Mus musculus: one gene and its partner. The protein of the gene in region 1 binds, or shares a complex with, the protein of each later gene. Links are inferred from orthologs where the notes say so. Each region holds a gene or a part of one and is shown on either strand. Other genes may lie near its edges.

Region 1 (8,349 bases):
CATGAGTTATCATTTATAGATGTGCCGTTACTGGCTAATTTTTTCCTGTTATAAAATCATAGGTGTAGCAAATATCTTAAACTGTTATCAACTGGGATTTCACTAAATGTGAAGAGCCTGACACGCCCACCTCACCCCTGTATAGTCCTCTTGGAAGATGAGATTCCGACTCTTCTGTTAAGTCAAAAGGCAGAGGGCATGGGACGACAACTGCCCCTGCATACAGAGTTCCTGTCGCCCGGTATCTGAGTGCCTGAGGAGTTAATCCCCAAGTCCCACTGGAAATTTTCTCCAGAAGCCCACAAGCCCGCTGCCTTCCTACACATCAATTAATTTGCCTGCATGGGAGAAAGGACAACCTCAGCCAGACATCCAGTCAGTCAGTATCAACATGCCCAGTTAACTTGGAGAGTGGTTTCCTGTTACCATGTGACATGGCTGTGCCACACCCAGGCTTGGCACTTGACCCAACGCTGACTGGTTTTCCTCTGTCTGTGTGGTTGGCTACTTCTGTGACCCAAGGGCGCTCTCTGTGACAGGACACATTCATTGTATGCCACCAGCGTTCCCATATCGTTCAAGGCGTGCTGTGAGCCTTGGTTTAGGGGACCAAGGGAGCACTGGGTGGCAGTTGGATCACAGTTCACCTCCACGGGAGCACTTGGTTTGTAGGCAGTAGAAACGCTAATAAACTGATTCAAGGGCAGAGGAGACAGTGGGTAAGGAAGTGAGTGTTTTCACTACCAGAATATTAACTGCCCAAAGACGAGCAGCTTGCCAGGAACTCTTCTGCAACTCCCTAAGTGGACTCCAAACTAAATTTAGGCCCTGATGTCATATGCTCTCGGGAGCCCTTCCTCCCCTCGGGCAAGTATTCACTCGTGGGCATGCTAGGTTGGGTGCTTTGTGAGTCCCTGTATCTCAAATATTGAATTATTGAGTGATCATTAAATGTTTATTTAATCTCTGATATTTCTTTGTAGGAAGTACCAGACAGCTAGACAAAGCGAAAAGATTTCTTCCCCTCCCCGAAACTTCTCATGCTTTGAAAAAAAAGTGTCTGTGTGTGTGTCTGTGTGTGTGTGAGTGTACATGCCTACGTACTCTCACACCATGGTACACACATGGAATTGGTCTTGCCGTGTAGATCCCAGCAGTCAAACTCAGCTCATCAGGCTTGGTGGCAGGTGCGTTTGCCTGCTAAGCGTTCTCACCGGCCTTGTTCTGTTTTAAGAGATGGCCCAGGCTGGCTTCCTGCTTCCACCTTTGAAGTACAAGGACTACAGATGCGTGCTGACGTATCCTAAGTGTCACTTGTGAGTGGCTTACAATTCTCTTCTGCTGCCCTCACCCATGGATCCTTAGATTCAAGGGATAGAAACAGCCCCTCTGAGCTCATACTCCAAGGGCTTAGCCATTCAAACTAATATCCAGAAGCAACCCAGGGTCTGGATACAGAGACAGGAGCAGACATAAGGACCATTTCTAGTGCAGCTCAGAGATGGTCTCTTACCTCCAGGAAGTGAGAGAGCTCGTTGTTGATAAGCTCCTTCAGTTCTGACTTCTTCAGCTTGTGCTTGTCACCCTCTCGCCCGGAGTACTGGTGGAAGACATCAATGAGGGCAACCATGGCCTTCTCCAGCTCGGACATCCCGGGAGCTGCAGAGGAAGGATACGTTTTCATGTTTTCTACCCTGTTCTTTGGAGAGCTTAATACGTTGTTCTCAGGCCTCAGCTCAGATGAGGGGTAGAGAGGCCTACCAGGGAGAGGCATCCTGGGATCCACGCTGACCAGGGTTCATCCTCTTTTGCCCAGGCCCACCCTGTCCCTTCTATGTCCCCATAGGCTACAGAGCGAAGTTTCCAAGACCATTGGTTTCTGGTTGGGTTTGGCCAATGAGAAACTAGCAAAGATGCTAATGCAAAGCATTAGGGAATGACTCCGGGTCTTCCTGGTGGCTATTCCCAATCCCAGAGGTCTCCAGGATATACCATCAGCTGATGGATTTAAGAAAGACACTAAGATGACTAGTAACAAGTAAATATCTACCTGTACACACGCACACACACACACACACACATCACTATCAGTGAACCATTTTTAAAATGCAGTAACAGCTTCCTCATACAGCAATAATATCAGGGGTTAGGAGGAAAAATGCAGGTACTTCCAAAAGATTCTGAGGAACAAGATTAAGAATGTTCTGGCTAGTTTTATATCAGCTTGGCACAAGCTAAAGCCCTTTCTCAGAGACAGGAACCTCAATTAAGAAAAACGCCCTCATAAGATCCAGCTATAGAGCATTTTCTTCAGTAGTGATCGATGAGGGAGGGCTGAGCCCATTGTGGGTGGTGCCATCCCTGGGCTGGTGGTCCTGGGTTCTATAAGAAAGCAGGCTGAGCAAGCCAGTAAGCAGCATCCCTCCATGGCCTCTGCATCACCAGCTCCTGCCCTCGGGATCCTGCCCTGCTTGAGTTCCTGTCCTGAATCCCTATGATGATGATCTGTGATGTGGACGCCAAAGCTGAATGGCCCTTCCTCCCCAACTTGCTTTTTGGTTATGGTGTTCATCTTAGTAATAAAAACCCTAACAAAGAGCTTATTTTCATTTGAATTAATATATTAGTTTAAGATGTATAAATAAAATATGAGTGAGGTTTTTTTGGGGGGGGATGGGGGACAAACCAAAAATATATATATAAAAAATAAAGACTGTAAAATTCCTGTACCAAGTTTTTGAAAACTACCAGTGAAGTGACCTTGCAGAAACACGTACTCCAAGGTCATATGGTTCTCCTGGCATCCTGACAGGGCGACGGAGGCCCAGCCCTGAGTTCTGTGCTTGCTTCATTGGCCTGGCCTCAGAGTACAGCAGCTTCTTTGTGAACAGGCATGCATGCCTGAGAGAAGCAAACAGCCTTTGCAGTGGGCACCTGATGCCACAGCCACAGCCCGGGGATTCAGGGAGGGCCGCTCGATTATCTGAGGAACTTCATTAACATTAAGCCATTAAGGGTGGCTCTGGGATCATTTTAGAAACCAGCCTCTTAGGCAGAGACATTTGGCAGCTCCTAGCCTCGAGTTCTGATCCTTAAACCAGAACCTGCACTGTCATAATTAAACAAAGGTTCAAAAGTCATTTCCATGTTGAACATGTTACATTTTAGAATACAACTTTCGTAGCTTTTTACATTTTTATTAAGGATCTCCCAAAAGAAACGAAGGTTTTCGCCCTGTATTGGCTCTCTGGTTCTTTGGTTTGTTCATGTTTTCCAAAGACACCTGAAGTACCTCATATAAGAAGAACAACCCAGATAGACAAAATGTAACATTCTCTCTTAGTCTCTTAACTTGAGTTTTTAGTTACTGTTGGTCTTTTAGCTAAAAGAAAATCCTATGTGTCTGGGTGTTTTGCCTACAGGTATGTCTCTGTAGCGTGCATGCCTGGTGCCCGCAGAGGCCAGAAGAAGGTGTTAGATCACTGGGAACTGGAATTACAGTCAGTAATTCCATGTGGATGCTGGACTGAACCATCTCAACAGCCCCGGTTACTGTTTTTGTTTGTCTTTTTTTTTTATGAAAGAAAATATGTTTAGTCCCATGGGGAGGGGAGGGAGGAGAGGGGAGGGAAGGACAGGCACAGAATTATCTGCCCTTTTTCCTTTTTAGATTGAGATGGGGGTCTCACTGTCCCCAGATTCTCTTCTAAATAATGATCTCCTTGTCTCTACTCTCCCAAGGGTTGGCTCATACCCAGCACAGTTATTGATTTAAAAAAAAAGTCTTCAGAGATTCTGTGTCATACTGATACTGCTCAAAGTCCTAACGGCTGGGGGAGGGAGAGCTAAATGATCTTTTTGTGGATAAGGACTAAGACTTAAAAGTAAATGGTGAAACACCATATCCCATAGGCAAAAAATAAATAAATAAATAAAAATTTATTTTTTCATGACTATATTAAAAATTCAAAAATCTCCCTATTCTTTCAACTAAGGAAGCATTGGTTTGTTGTCTGCCTTCTAAGACAAACGGATGAGTCTTTATAAAGAAACACAGGGCTGGAGCTTCTTGGGATGGCACTGCCTGTAAGGTGAGGGGTCCCCACAGAGACCACCCTTCCCCAGGAGGGATGACAGGAAAGTCAGGAGCCACCCCCAAACCTTCATCTCTCTGTCCCAATTCATAATGATTTGAAAAGTTTCAACTGCTTTGGATTTTTCTTTTTTGAGCAGTGTCTGGAGATGTAGCTCTTGGCGTTTCGAATAGGAAAACTGGAAAAGCTCACAGGGGTGCTCCAGGGACCCCGGGAAAAGTTGCCATGAAGAAAGGGGAGCTGCGGTTGGAGATTTGGGGTAACCCTATTCCAGGAAAGGAAATCCTTCCCTTAGGACTCAGAGAAGACGCACTGTGCGCCATCTCCAAAAACATCGGCAGTCATTCTGAAGTTCTAACTATGGCCTAAGGTTTCCCTGGTTTAATGAAAACAAAACCAAAGACAATCCCCCCGCTGTAACACAGACACTGCATAGTCAGTGTCAGCCGCAGTCACAAGGAAACAGTAAAGGCAGCCTAATCAGCAGCTCTGAAATGCCACCAAATGTCCCCAAAGGTCTCTTAAAAAAAAAAATTCTTAAAGCTCAGTTCCCATTCTATCCCTGTCACCCCTCACCCTCCGAGGAAAGAAAAAAGCAGGTTTTCTCTTGGGTCCTGTCAGTGGCTTTCTCACCTCCTGGTCACCTTTGCTGCTGGAGTCCTCTCTGGCTTCAGTGTCCGAGTAACAGGAGTGTAGACAGAACAGCTTCTTATTCTTCCTGCAGAGAGAACTGGGTGTGGGCTTGGCGCAGTCCACTGCAGGCTGAGGCTGCCAATGGGGGCCAAGGATAGGGAGGAGTTAGACACCCAGGCCTGCATACAGGGCCCCATTGAGTGGTACCCTGGGGATCCACTGGGCAGCCACAACTGGACTTGATCTAGAAAGAATACGGGTCTGTTGGGTAGGAAGTGTAGAGTCAGCTTCTCTGCACCTTTTAAATGTATTACATGAACATTGGCCCAGTTCCAAAGGCAAGGCTGGGGTTGGGAAGAGGAGAGAGACAACGTGGGTGAATTGATTTAAACAGCAAATCTGCAGCCAAGAACTGGAAACTTCTCATGCTGAGTGCTGGAGACTGTGTGGCCCTGACTGGCTTCTAAGGAGGCCTCTTGAACATCTTGCTTGTCTGCCAGCTTCCTGGTCCCCTCCTGCAGGTATGCCATGCTGGGGCTGGTGATGCTGGGTAGTGGTTACCCCCAGACTCCTCTTTGAGCCCAGTATTCTCAGGGACCAGCATGCAGTAAGTTAGTTACATACTTAGTACTTGTTGCACCTAGGGAAAGACCTGCCAGCTCTTGTCTTGGGGCTCTCTCTCCCTACCCTGGTCAAAGGTTATGAGTTGTCTGAGCCAGAAATGCCTGTCCTGTGCTGTGCTCTTTTTGCATAGGGAAGAAATGTTGCACCTCTTGTCAAGGCACAAAATGACCCCAGAAAGCAGTCTGTTCCTAACTGCCTATCTTCAGCAGCACTACACCTGAGCTTCAAATGGCATCAATTGTGCGCTCTTGCCCAGAAATGAGCAGTTGAGCTGGAGAGATGGCTCAGAGGTTAAGAGCATTGGCTGCTTTTCCAGAGGTCCTGAGTTCAATTCCCAGCAACCACATGGTGGCTCACAATCATCTATAATGAGGTCTGGTGCCCCCTTCTAGTGTAGAGGTGTACATGCAAGCAGAACACTGTATACATAATATCTTTTTAAAAATAAAAATAAAAAAAAGAAATCAGAAGTGAGCAGTCCTTTTGAATAATCACACAGAAGCAATGGCCCAAGCTGACCAAGCAAGAGAGGATAGCTTAGTCACACTTCCCTTTGCCCCTCGTGTTCCAAGTGTCTGTGGGAAGAGCTACATGACAAAAGACACCCAAATATCACAGAGACCAAGGGGTTGACTAGACATGTTAGGGCTCCAGTAAAGCTTCTCCACCTTGAGGAAAGGGGGCAGTGTCTCTTAGCTTTGGGGCAGAGGTATAAACTCCTACTCTGGTTCCTCCCTATTACAGGGGGCAACTCACCATTTATCTACATGAGATCAAAGCCACTGGTTCACAAAGATTAGGTCCCCTACTCTTCTTAGTCCCCAGTAGACAATAAAAGGGAGACTCAGGGAGACCATGATAATCATGACTGGGAAGGTTCCCTCACTTTGTGAGGTTGCTCAGGGTACTGGATGATCAAGGCATCTCTAACCCCTCTCTGGCCATTTTTCAGTCAGTTACACTGACTTTAAGGAGAGATCTTCAAACCCCTGTGTGTGTGTGTCTGTGTGTGTGTTGATCATCAAATCCCAGACAAGCCCCTGCAAATGGTACAGGAGTCTTGGGTGAGGAGTCTCTGGTTCCTGTGGAATAGACAAAGAATTCTACATCCTGGAAAGAAGACACACTCAGGAAAATGAAGTGACAGTTAGAGAGCAAGATGGGCCGCCGAGGTCTGGCAGCTGGAGACCTGAAGTAGGAGACATAAAAGCAGTCCCTACAGCCCAGTGAGAGTAGCCGAGATCCTCTGAGGCTCCTAGACAGAAATGAGGCAGGGACACCAACATGGCTGCCACTGGGAGGAAAGTAGAGATCCTAAGGGTCCCTGGCAGAAAATACCAGTACAGAGAATGTGGACAGCAGACAGAGTGAAAGTAAGTTACAGATTGTATCGATCGCCCTGGAACTGGCCTTAACATTTTATTATTTTTTCTTTCTTTACTTATTGTTTATATTTATTTAGGTGTTTTGAGACAGGGTTTTTCTGTGTGGCCTTGGCAGTCCAGGAACTCGCTTTGTAGACCAGGTTCATCTGGAACTCACAGAGATACACCCACCTCTGCTTCCCAAGCGCTGGGATTAAAGGTGCACTGCACTGCCACAGCCAAGCCACCCTTAACATTTTTTTTTAAAGTTAGTTTTTGGATAACTTTATAGTCTCAATCACCTAGAATGAAAGTATATCCAAATACTAAAGTCGTTGAGAATAGAAAACAGATAACAAACTGGGCTTTAAAAAAACCAAAACCAAAACAAAACAAAACAAAAATCCACAAATGTGTTGGAAAGATATAACTCAAAGAATAAAAGTCACAGTGTTTATAGAGAGCCTGATTTCAGATCCCAGAACCACATTGGGTGGCTCACAATCAATTATAACTATTGTTTCAGGGGATTCAGCTCCATAGGCAGTATACTTGTGTTCTTGCATACACACTCACACACCACAAACACACACACACACCACAGAAACACACAAACATACACCACACACACACCACACAAACACACACATACCACAACACCCCCCCCCACACACACACACATATACCAAAGACTTTCAAAAACTATACAAGAGCTCGGGTCTTACCTACAAAACAAAAAACAAAAACATTACACTTTAGAGTATGGGCTATTGACATCCCAGGTGGCTTCCGGTTATCTTAGCCTTCAGCCTCTCTAGCGCCTGCTTTTGGCATGACCTACTCAAATTGTTCTTTGTCCGCTTTTCTGTCCACCCCCTAGACCTGCTATCCATCTGTCTGTTGCTTTGTCTGGCCCTGGCCCTGCTCCTTTGCCTCTGCAGCGGGACTCAGGGCTGCACAATAGCAGTAGCTGTGCTTGCTCACCGATCTCCAGCGGGTTTTTATTTTACCCCTTAGAGACTTCATTTGTTTCCATTTCCTAGCTTTAGCTTTTTAGCAACTTAGGCCTCTTTGAAACATCTTTAACTCTTTGTAACCATTCTGTATCAGGTGTGTGTGTGTGTTGGAAAGATAGCTCAGTGAATAAACATTTGTAATGCTTATAGAGGACCTCATTTCAGTTCCCAGCACCTACATTGAGTGGCTCACAATCAGCTGTAACTCTAGTTCCAAGGGATGGTAGATAGTGTATGGTATATAATACAATCATACCTATATAAATGTATGTGTATATGATATAATCATATCTATATAAATGTGTGTATATGAATATATATTTATGGCATTATATGGAATATGTGATCGGACAGTTAATATTAGTTATTAAGGCTGAAATAGAAGAACCTGTGTTTGCCTCAGCCAAGGTTATCAAGGAAAACAAGAGTACCTGGCAAATTGCCGCACATGTAAATCAGAAGACACTGAGAGAGCTTACGATTGGGGTACCAGTGGCACTGAGGTAGATTCTCCTTCTGAGTTAGATATTTATCAGCATACTTATTAATGCTATAGGCAAGAGATTAGTTATTAATGCTACATACAAGAGATCTATTAGAATAGTTAATAACACCAAA
Region 2 (7,850 bases), on another chromosome or scaffold:
GGGAATTGTAGGCAAGAGCAGTTATATAATAAGTTTGAGCTAGCCTGAGCTACATGAGATCATGTTAAAAAGAACAAAAGGCTGTAGAGATGGCTCACCAGGAAAGAGTCTTTGCTGCTCTTGCAGTGGTTCAGAGATGGATTTCTGGTTATGGGTGACTTACAGTTGCCCACAACTCCAGTTCCAAGGATTAGATGCCTGCGTCTGGCCTCTGGATACCAGCACAATACAGGGGCACACACATAAGTAAAGATAAATAAGTCTTTCAAACAAACAATGGTGTTGGAAAGATGGCTCTGGTCAAGAGCACTGGCTGCATGTCTAGAGGACTGGGATTTGATTCCCAGCACCCACGTGGCAGCTCACTGCTGTATAACTTCACTTCCAGGAGAAATGACATCCTGTTCTGGCCTCTGGGCACCTGGGCACTGCATGTACAAATAAAATAGGAATGAAATGGGAAAAAATTAAGATAAGCCATTGTAATGGTTTGTTATTTGCATTTACATGTTACTTTTTAAATTGTCTTGGGGATGGAGAAATGGCTCAGGGGTTGACAGCAGTGACTGCTCTTCCAGAGTTCAATTCCCAGCAACCTCATGGTAGCTCACAGCCATCTGTAATGGGATCTGGTGCCCTCTTCTGGTGTGTCTGAAGACAGTGACAGTGTACTCATATGTATAAAATAAATTTTCAAAAATCTTTTAAAAAAATTGTCTTGTTGGCCTTCTCTTTGTGGGGTGGAGGTAGATACAGTCCTGCTATATGCCCAGGCTGACCTTAAACTCAAGATCTACTTGTCTTTTCAGTGCTAGGATCAGATGATGCTCGACTGTAATAAACAGCTGCATGTTTCTCTTCACAGTACACTTATTATACTATAAATTTTATTTTTCTTTAGGTCCGCATAGCCGCTAAATTCATCACCCATGCACCCCCAGGGGAGTTTAATGAAGTATTCAATGGTAAGTAAAGATTAATATTGAGTGAGTACTCCTTAATCACTGTCACTATCTAGCTTTCTCCCTTTTTTCTTTTTAAATTTTTATTTCATTTTTTTAGGAGAGGGGGCACCTTGTGAGCCTCAGTTCTTTGTTCTCCCACATGGGTGCTGAGAGCTGAGCTCAGGTCCTCAGGCCTAGCAGCAAGCTCCGAGGTAGCTCACCAGCTCTTCTCTTTCAAAACGTTGGTCTTCTGAGGCCCGGCTAGACTGAACTCTTGAGTGCTAGAGCACAGGCGTGCACCAACACAGCTAGCAGTGAGTGCGTACTCTTCACTGGTCGTTACCTCTTACAGCCTTTTCGAAAGAAATCGGCATTCAGAAACACTGAAATCATTTGTTTAAGGCAACTCAGCAGCTGAGTGTGAAAGTTAAGATTCAGTTCTAGGTTTAGGTCAAATACTTAGCTTTGCCTAATCCATCAATTAGGAGATTGCTCTCAGATAAGCAAAGACTTCCGATAGCTGTCTTGTGGCTCACATCTACAGTTCCAACCCTGGGACAGCCCTGAGGTGCTGAAGAAGGGAGATTGCTGCAAGCTCCAGTACAACCTGGACGAAAGGTTGTCTCAAAACTAAAAAGAAGTGAATAGAAGCCGGGCGGTGGTGGTGCACGCCTTTAATCCCAGCACTTGAGAGGCACAGGCAGGCGGATTTCTGAGTTCGAGGCCAGCCTGGTCTACAGAGTGAGTTCCAGGACAACCAGGGCTACACAGAGAAACCCTGTCTCGGGAAAAAAAAAAAGTGACTAGAGATTTAATATAGTTCATATTTTAAAGGAATGACAATAAATTGACTTTTCAAATTTATTACTTTTTTATTCTTCCTGTACCTTTTAGTTTTATCATGAAAGATAAAAGCTTCAATTTTCACTGCCTTTCCTCAAGTCCTATACAGAGGACATTTCCCAGGACTATTGTGGCTGAACTTCAGATCGTATATGAAGCTTATTAAGTTCAGATGATACACATCTTTAATACTAGTGCTTGGGAGGCAGAGGCAGGCAGATCCCTGGATTTGAGGCCAGCCTGGTCTACAGAGTTCCAGGACATCCCAGGCTACATAAAGAAACCCTGTCTCAGAAAACAAAACAAACAAATTCAGATTCACACAGAAATGGTGGCCCATGCCTGTAATCTCAGTACCCAGGAGGCTGAAGCAGGAGGATTACTCTCATTCAGACCAGCCAAGGGTATAGAATGAACCTTTGTTTAAAAAACAAAAATCAGAAAAAGCCAGTAAATTTAGTAAATCAGTCAATTTACAAACTGACCTTTACCATCCCTTCAAGACTGCCATCTCTTCCGTATACTACTTGGGGAGGTGTGGTGATCCCAGCACTTGGGTGCTGGTACAGGAGGATTACAAATTCAGGGAAACCTAGACTGCATAGTGAAACCTGGTCTCAAAACTAAAAAAAAAAAGAGATCTTGGTTTTCAGATGGTTTATCTCTGCCAGGTATGGTGGTGTATACGCATAATCCCAGCACTTGGGAGGTGGAAGCAGGAGGATGGAAAACTCAAAGCCCTGCTTGGCATGGTGGCACATGTCTTTAATCCTAGTGCTCAGGAAGCAGAAGCAGGTGGATCTCTGTGAGCTCCATCATAGCCTAGGCCAGACAGCAAGTTCCAGGACAGCCAAGAAAGAGAAACCTGAAACGAAAGAAAGGAAAAAAAAAAAGAGTTGTCTTAGCCTTAGCTACAAAGTAAGTTTGAGGCCAACTCAGAGACTCTTGTCTCAGACAAATTAAGAAAAATGTCCTAATGTAGCTCAGTTGGTAGAGGGCCTACATAGCATACACGAACCCCTAGATTTAGTCCCTGCCATGGCATAAACTGGGCATGGTGATCAAGGTCATTTGTAGCTGCTACATAAAGGAATTTCAAGCCAACCTGAGTTTGAGATCCTGTTAAGAAGGAGTGAAAGGTGAGCAGGAAAGAGAGATGAATAACTTCCTTGGGAATTTTTGTTGGGTTATTATAGCAGACAATTCTGTAGGAACCTCTGAACACTGCTGTCCATTACTCAGTGCTATGTTTAGAGTTTCCACACATAGATTATAACTGAAGATTCATCTTGCAAGCCCTGAATTTTAAAAACATATTCTAGAAATGGGCTAAAATTTCTTGAGTTTGTTCTGTACTCAGTATTCCAATGCTTTCCTCCTCAGATGTCCGGCTACTGCTTAACAATGACAATCTCCTCAGGGAAGGGGCAGCACAGTAAGTACCTCCTAAATCCACGGGTGGGTGTCAGAGAGCTCGGCCAGCCTGGGCAAGGTACTCAGTGGGTCAGCACTGCAGACCAGCGGCCCCGTTCATCCCTCTAACAGTGGGTAAGCTGGTGACAGTAACAGACAGCAATTAGTCTCTGGTTTTCTGTTACAGCTATGACCATGTATTTGAGGGAATAGACTCTTAAAAGAATGTGTTTGTTTGTTTGTTACTCCATGGTCAACAGTGTTTAGTCCATAGCCATATTAATTCATAATCATGACCCACAGGTTGAAAAATGCTGCTCTAACTCAAATGTCCTGATTTCCAGTTAGGAATGGTTACGCCAATACAGAGTTCAGATGCTTTGACTGCTTTAATTACACCCACAGACACTAAAGCTCTGTGTGTGTGTGAGAGTGTGTGTGTGTGTGTGTGTGTGTGTGTGTGTGTGTGTGTGTGTGTGTGAGAGAGAGAGAGTGTGTGTGTGTATGTGAGTGTGTGTGTATGTGTGTGTGAGTGTGTGAGAGTGTGTGTATGTATGTGTGTGTGTGAGAGAGTGTGTATGTGTGAGTGTATATGTGTGTATGTGAGTGTGTGTGTGTGAGAGAGAGTGTGTATGTGAGTGTGTGTGTGTGAGTGTATGTGTGTGTGAGTGTATGTGTGTGTGAGTGTATGTGTGTGTGAGTTTGTGTGTATGTATGTGAGTGTGTGTGTGAGTGTGTGTGTATGTATGTGAGTGTGTGTGTGTGAGAGAGTGTGTGTGTGAGTGTATATGTGTGTATGTGAGTGAGTGTGTGTGAGAGAGAGTGTGTATGTGAGTGTGTGAGAGTGTGTGTGTATATGTGTGTATGTGAGTGTGTGTGTGTGAGTGTATATGTGTGTATGTGAGTGTGTGTGTGTGTGTATGTGTTCAAAGTCTTGCAGATTTCTTAGAGAACCTACATATTAAAGAAGTTTGTTTTGTTTTTTCCTGAGTCCAATTATTTAAGTTTTTTTATGGGAATAAAAAATTCTCTTTTATCTGGGCAGTGGTGGCGCACACCTTTAATCTCAGCACTAGAGAGGCAGAGGCAGGCAGATCTCTGAGTTTGAGGCCAGCCTGGTCTACAGAGTGAGTTCTAGAACTACCAAGGTTGCACAGAGAAGCCTGGACTAGAGAAAGGGGAGAAAAAAGAGAGGAAGAAAAGTTAACTTTTATTTCTGTAATGAAATGCTCTTGACCAGACTCTTGTTGGTGCCTAGTACATGCTGTTTCAGTGATGCTCGCCATCTTTATTGCTTCCTGTATAAGCAGAAGGAGGCTTTATTGTAGCTGGGTAAAGATAATACACTAGATCGGCCTAGGATTTACTTTCTTTTTTGTATTTTGGAGCCAGTGGTTCTAACCACAGTACCATTCCCTGATAGTGCCTAGCACTTGTAGTATAGGTAGGATGTTAAATGTCACATTAAAGCGTGAGTTTCATTTTGAATGAGATGACATTGGTAAGTGAAATAGAGAATGATGTGGTAAGACTTAGGGTTTAGAATACTTACTTACCAGCTATGTGTTCTAGTAACGTTGTAAGTGGGCAGAGGCTGCAGTGAGGCAAGGCAGTGATAGTTCAGAGGAGAAGCGAGCCTGGGGAGTAAGATTCTGGTCACACTTCTCTTAGACCTGTGGGTTGGAGATAAAGTGTCAGAAAGAACAGTTAAGGATGGCTTCAAAGTGTTTGGATTAAAGTAGCTGCTAAAGTAGAGATACTATTGACTTTTTCAATTCTTTCTTTAACTAGTGCATTTGCCCAGTATAACATGGATCAGTTCACACCCGTGAAGATAGAAGGCTACGATGACCAGGTAATGACTGCCTGTTCCACGGTCTGTGCCGGGTAGTAGAGATGTAAAAGCCAGAGCAGATAGGAAATTGGCTGTTAATATATTTATGTCTTTGATTTTTAAAATAGTCTACATATTTAAAAATTCTTAGCCGGGCATGGTGGCGCATGCCTTTAATCCCAGCACTTGGGAGGCAGAGGCAGGCAGATTTCTGAGCTCGAGGCCAGCCTGGTCTACAGAGTGAGTTCCAGGACAGCCAGGACTACACAAAGAAACCCTGTCTCGAAAAACCAAAAAAAAAAAAAAAAAAAAAAATCTTCTTTCTGGTAATATTAGGTGGGTTCCCCACCACCACCAACCCATAGGAAAAAAGAGTGCCATTGACTTGACATGTAGGTTCCAGAGCAGTGCAGAGGAAGTCTAACAAAAATAGCAGAGACATTAATTTAGAATTAGCCTAAGTTACTCAAGGAATCTGCTGCTTAGGAGATAGGAACACGAAAAGGATTTCATTTAGTACATTTTTGGACCATGTAGCTGTATTACTTAAGTGCTCACAATAATACAATGGCCCTGAAAAATTTTATAAAATATGTAAAAATGAATACATGAGAATTGGTGTGCTAGTATAAATATATATACATGGATAATACATTAGCTAGAAATCAAGATATAAAGGGTATTGTTGGGAGGAAGAAAACATTGTTTTATTTTTATGAGAATAAAAATGATACGTGCTTTAAAAGTCATTGTGGAAAAGAAATTAAAAGTTAATTTTCTTAGGATATTATTTCTTTTTGCAAAACATAAGAATTGTCTTTTTTATAGAACTACTTATATTTGTAATTCTTCTCTGGAAGGTCTTAATTACAGAGCATGGTGACCTTGGTAACAGCAGATTTTTAGATCCAAGAAACCAAATTTCCTTTAAGTTTGATCATTTACGGAAAGAAGCAAGTGACCCGCAGCCAGAGGATGTGGATGGAGGCTTGAAGTCTTGGAGGGAGTCGTGTGACAGTGCTCTGAGAGCCTATGTGAAAGATCATTATTCCAACGGCTTCTGTACTGTTAAGTATCTGCCTGTCCCTCGGAGAACAGATTAAAGTTACTTTTCTTACGCTTACCTTACCCTTTTGAACCTTTGCCCCACCAGACTTTACTTCTTTTCTCTTGGTTATTGTCATCTCCTTATTTTATTCCTTAAATAATTTCTAAATTTTTGAAATTTCTTTCTTAAAGATTTGCTTTTATTGTTTTTTAATTAAGTATGAGTGGAGGGAGGGATTGCATGTAAGCCCAGGTGCCCCTGGAGGTTAGAGACATTTGTTCCCTGAACATGCACTTACAGATGTTTAAGCCGCCTGACATGGATTCCAGGGTTTAAATCCAGGGCCTCTGCTAAAGTAGTATATGCTCCTAATTACTGAGCAGTTTCTCCAGCCCTAGAAAATTTGTTTTTAAAATCTCAGTGTATAACACTTTAAAATATCCATATATTACATTTTATATTTCTCTTATTTACTCACAATAAATCACCTCTACCCATCAAAAAGTTATTAAAACCAGGTTTGATAATATACTTGTAATCTTAAAACATTTGGAAAGTAGGGGCAGGGGCATCAGGAGTTCAAGGCTGTTGTCCACTCTACAAAAGTTAGAGGGTAGCCTGGACTATGAGGCATCTACTGAGAGTGCGGAGTGGGTGGTGGGATTTATAGTTGATTGTATCATGCTTAGCTTACTGGGTTTTTAGCTTTTTGTTTTTGTTTTTTGTTTTTTGATGTTTATTTGTTTGTGGGTTTTTTTTTTTTGTTTTTGTTTTTTAAAGTAAAGACAGAACCTAGAGACTGGCACATGCTAGGCAAATATTCTGCCGCTTAGCTGTATCCCCAATTGTCATTATAGTTTGAAACAGGATCACTAAGTTGCCCAGGCTCTCCTTGAAACTTATTCTGTAGTCTAGGTTGACAATGACTCTTTAGTCTGTCTGTCTAAGAAGCCCCAAGATGCTGGGAACCCAGACTTGCACCAGGCCTGCCTGCATTTTTTTTTTAATTAAGATTTATTTATTTATTACATGTCAGTACACTGTAGCTGTCTTCAGACACTCCAGAAGAGGGAGTCAGATCTTGTTACAGATGGTTGTGAGCCACCATATGGTTGCTGGGATTTGAACTCCGGACCTTTGGAAGAGCAGTCAGTGCTCTTACCCACTGAGCCATCTCACCAGCCCCCTGCCTGCATTTTTAACTTTGTAGCTAGTAAATAAAATTGTATCTTTATAGGATGCATAACATGATGTTTTGAAATATACCTTGTGGTATAACCAAGTTGAGTGTAGAAACTTGGAACATATTAACTTTCCCCCTGGGTGGGTGGGTGGATGGGTGGGTGGTTGGTTGGTTGGTTGGTTGGTTGGTTGGTTGGTTGGTTGGTTGGTTTAGATGGGGCCTCAGTCTATAACCTAGTCTGGCCTTGAACTTGAGATGATCCTCCTTCCTAAGACTATATACTGTGTCCTGGTGTTTCAGGCTTCATTCACCACACCTGACCTGTGTGTCTGTGTGTCTGTGTGTCTGTGTCTGTGTACAGTCTACTCTCAGCAGTCTTCAAATATACAGTACATAGTTACTAGTTAGACTTTTAAATCTGTAGAGAAGACAAATATAATAGGGATATAGCTAGTTAAGATCACTATGAATTCTTGAGTGGTTTAAATCCTAAACCAGTCACTTAACTAGTTGTGTGGCCTTTGGTATAAATTACCTAGCATCTCTGTGCTTCAGTTTCCTCATTTATATAATAAAACAGTGTAT

What was found.
Region 2: the proteins of S100b (region 1) and Capza1 are in contact, whole or in part, in an NMR structure (PDB 1MQ1), measured with the Homo sapiens proteins. The link is inferred for Mus musculus from reciprocal best matches to the Homo sapiens genes S100B and CAPZA1. Residues at the interface, in NP_006263.1 of Homo sapiens: Glu46, Glu47, Lys49, Val53, Lys56, Val57, Thr60, Phe77, Met80, Val81, Ala84, Cys85, Glu87; in NP_006126.1 of Homo sapiens: Thr265, Arg266, Ile269, Asp270, Trp271, Asn272, Lys273, Ile274, Leu275.

Annotation. Positions count from the first base shown.
Region 1 is NC_000076.6:76,250,337-76,258,685, reverse strand, and holds the start of S100b (protein S100-B), read right to left. Parts: upstream 4,851-8,349; 5' UTR 4,728-4,850; intron 1,660-4,727; 5' UTR 1,652-1,659; coding exon 1,514-1,651; intron 1-1,513. UniProt on the Homo sapiens protein: Small zinc- and- and calcium-binding protein that is highly expressed in astrocytes and constitutes one of the most abundant soluble proteins in brain.
Region 2 is NC_000069.6:104,838,033-104,845,882, reverse strand, and holds part of Capza1 (F-actin-capping protein subunit alpha-1), read left to right. Parts: intron 1-901; coding exon 902-965; intron 966-3,170; coding exon 3,171-3,222; intron 3,223-4,991; coding exon 4,992-5,055; intron 5,056-5,894; coding exon 5,895-6,101; intron 6,102-7,850. UniProt on the Homo sapiens protein: F-actin-capping proteins bind in a Ca(2+)-independent manner to the fast growing ends of actin filaments (barbed end) thereby blocking the exchange of subunits at these ends.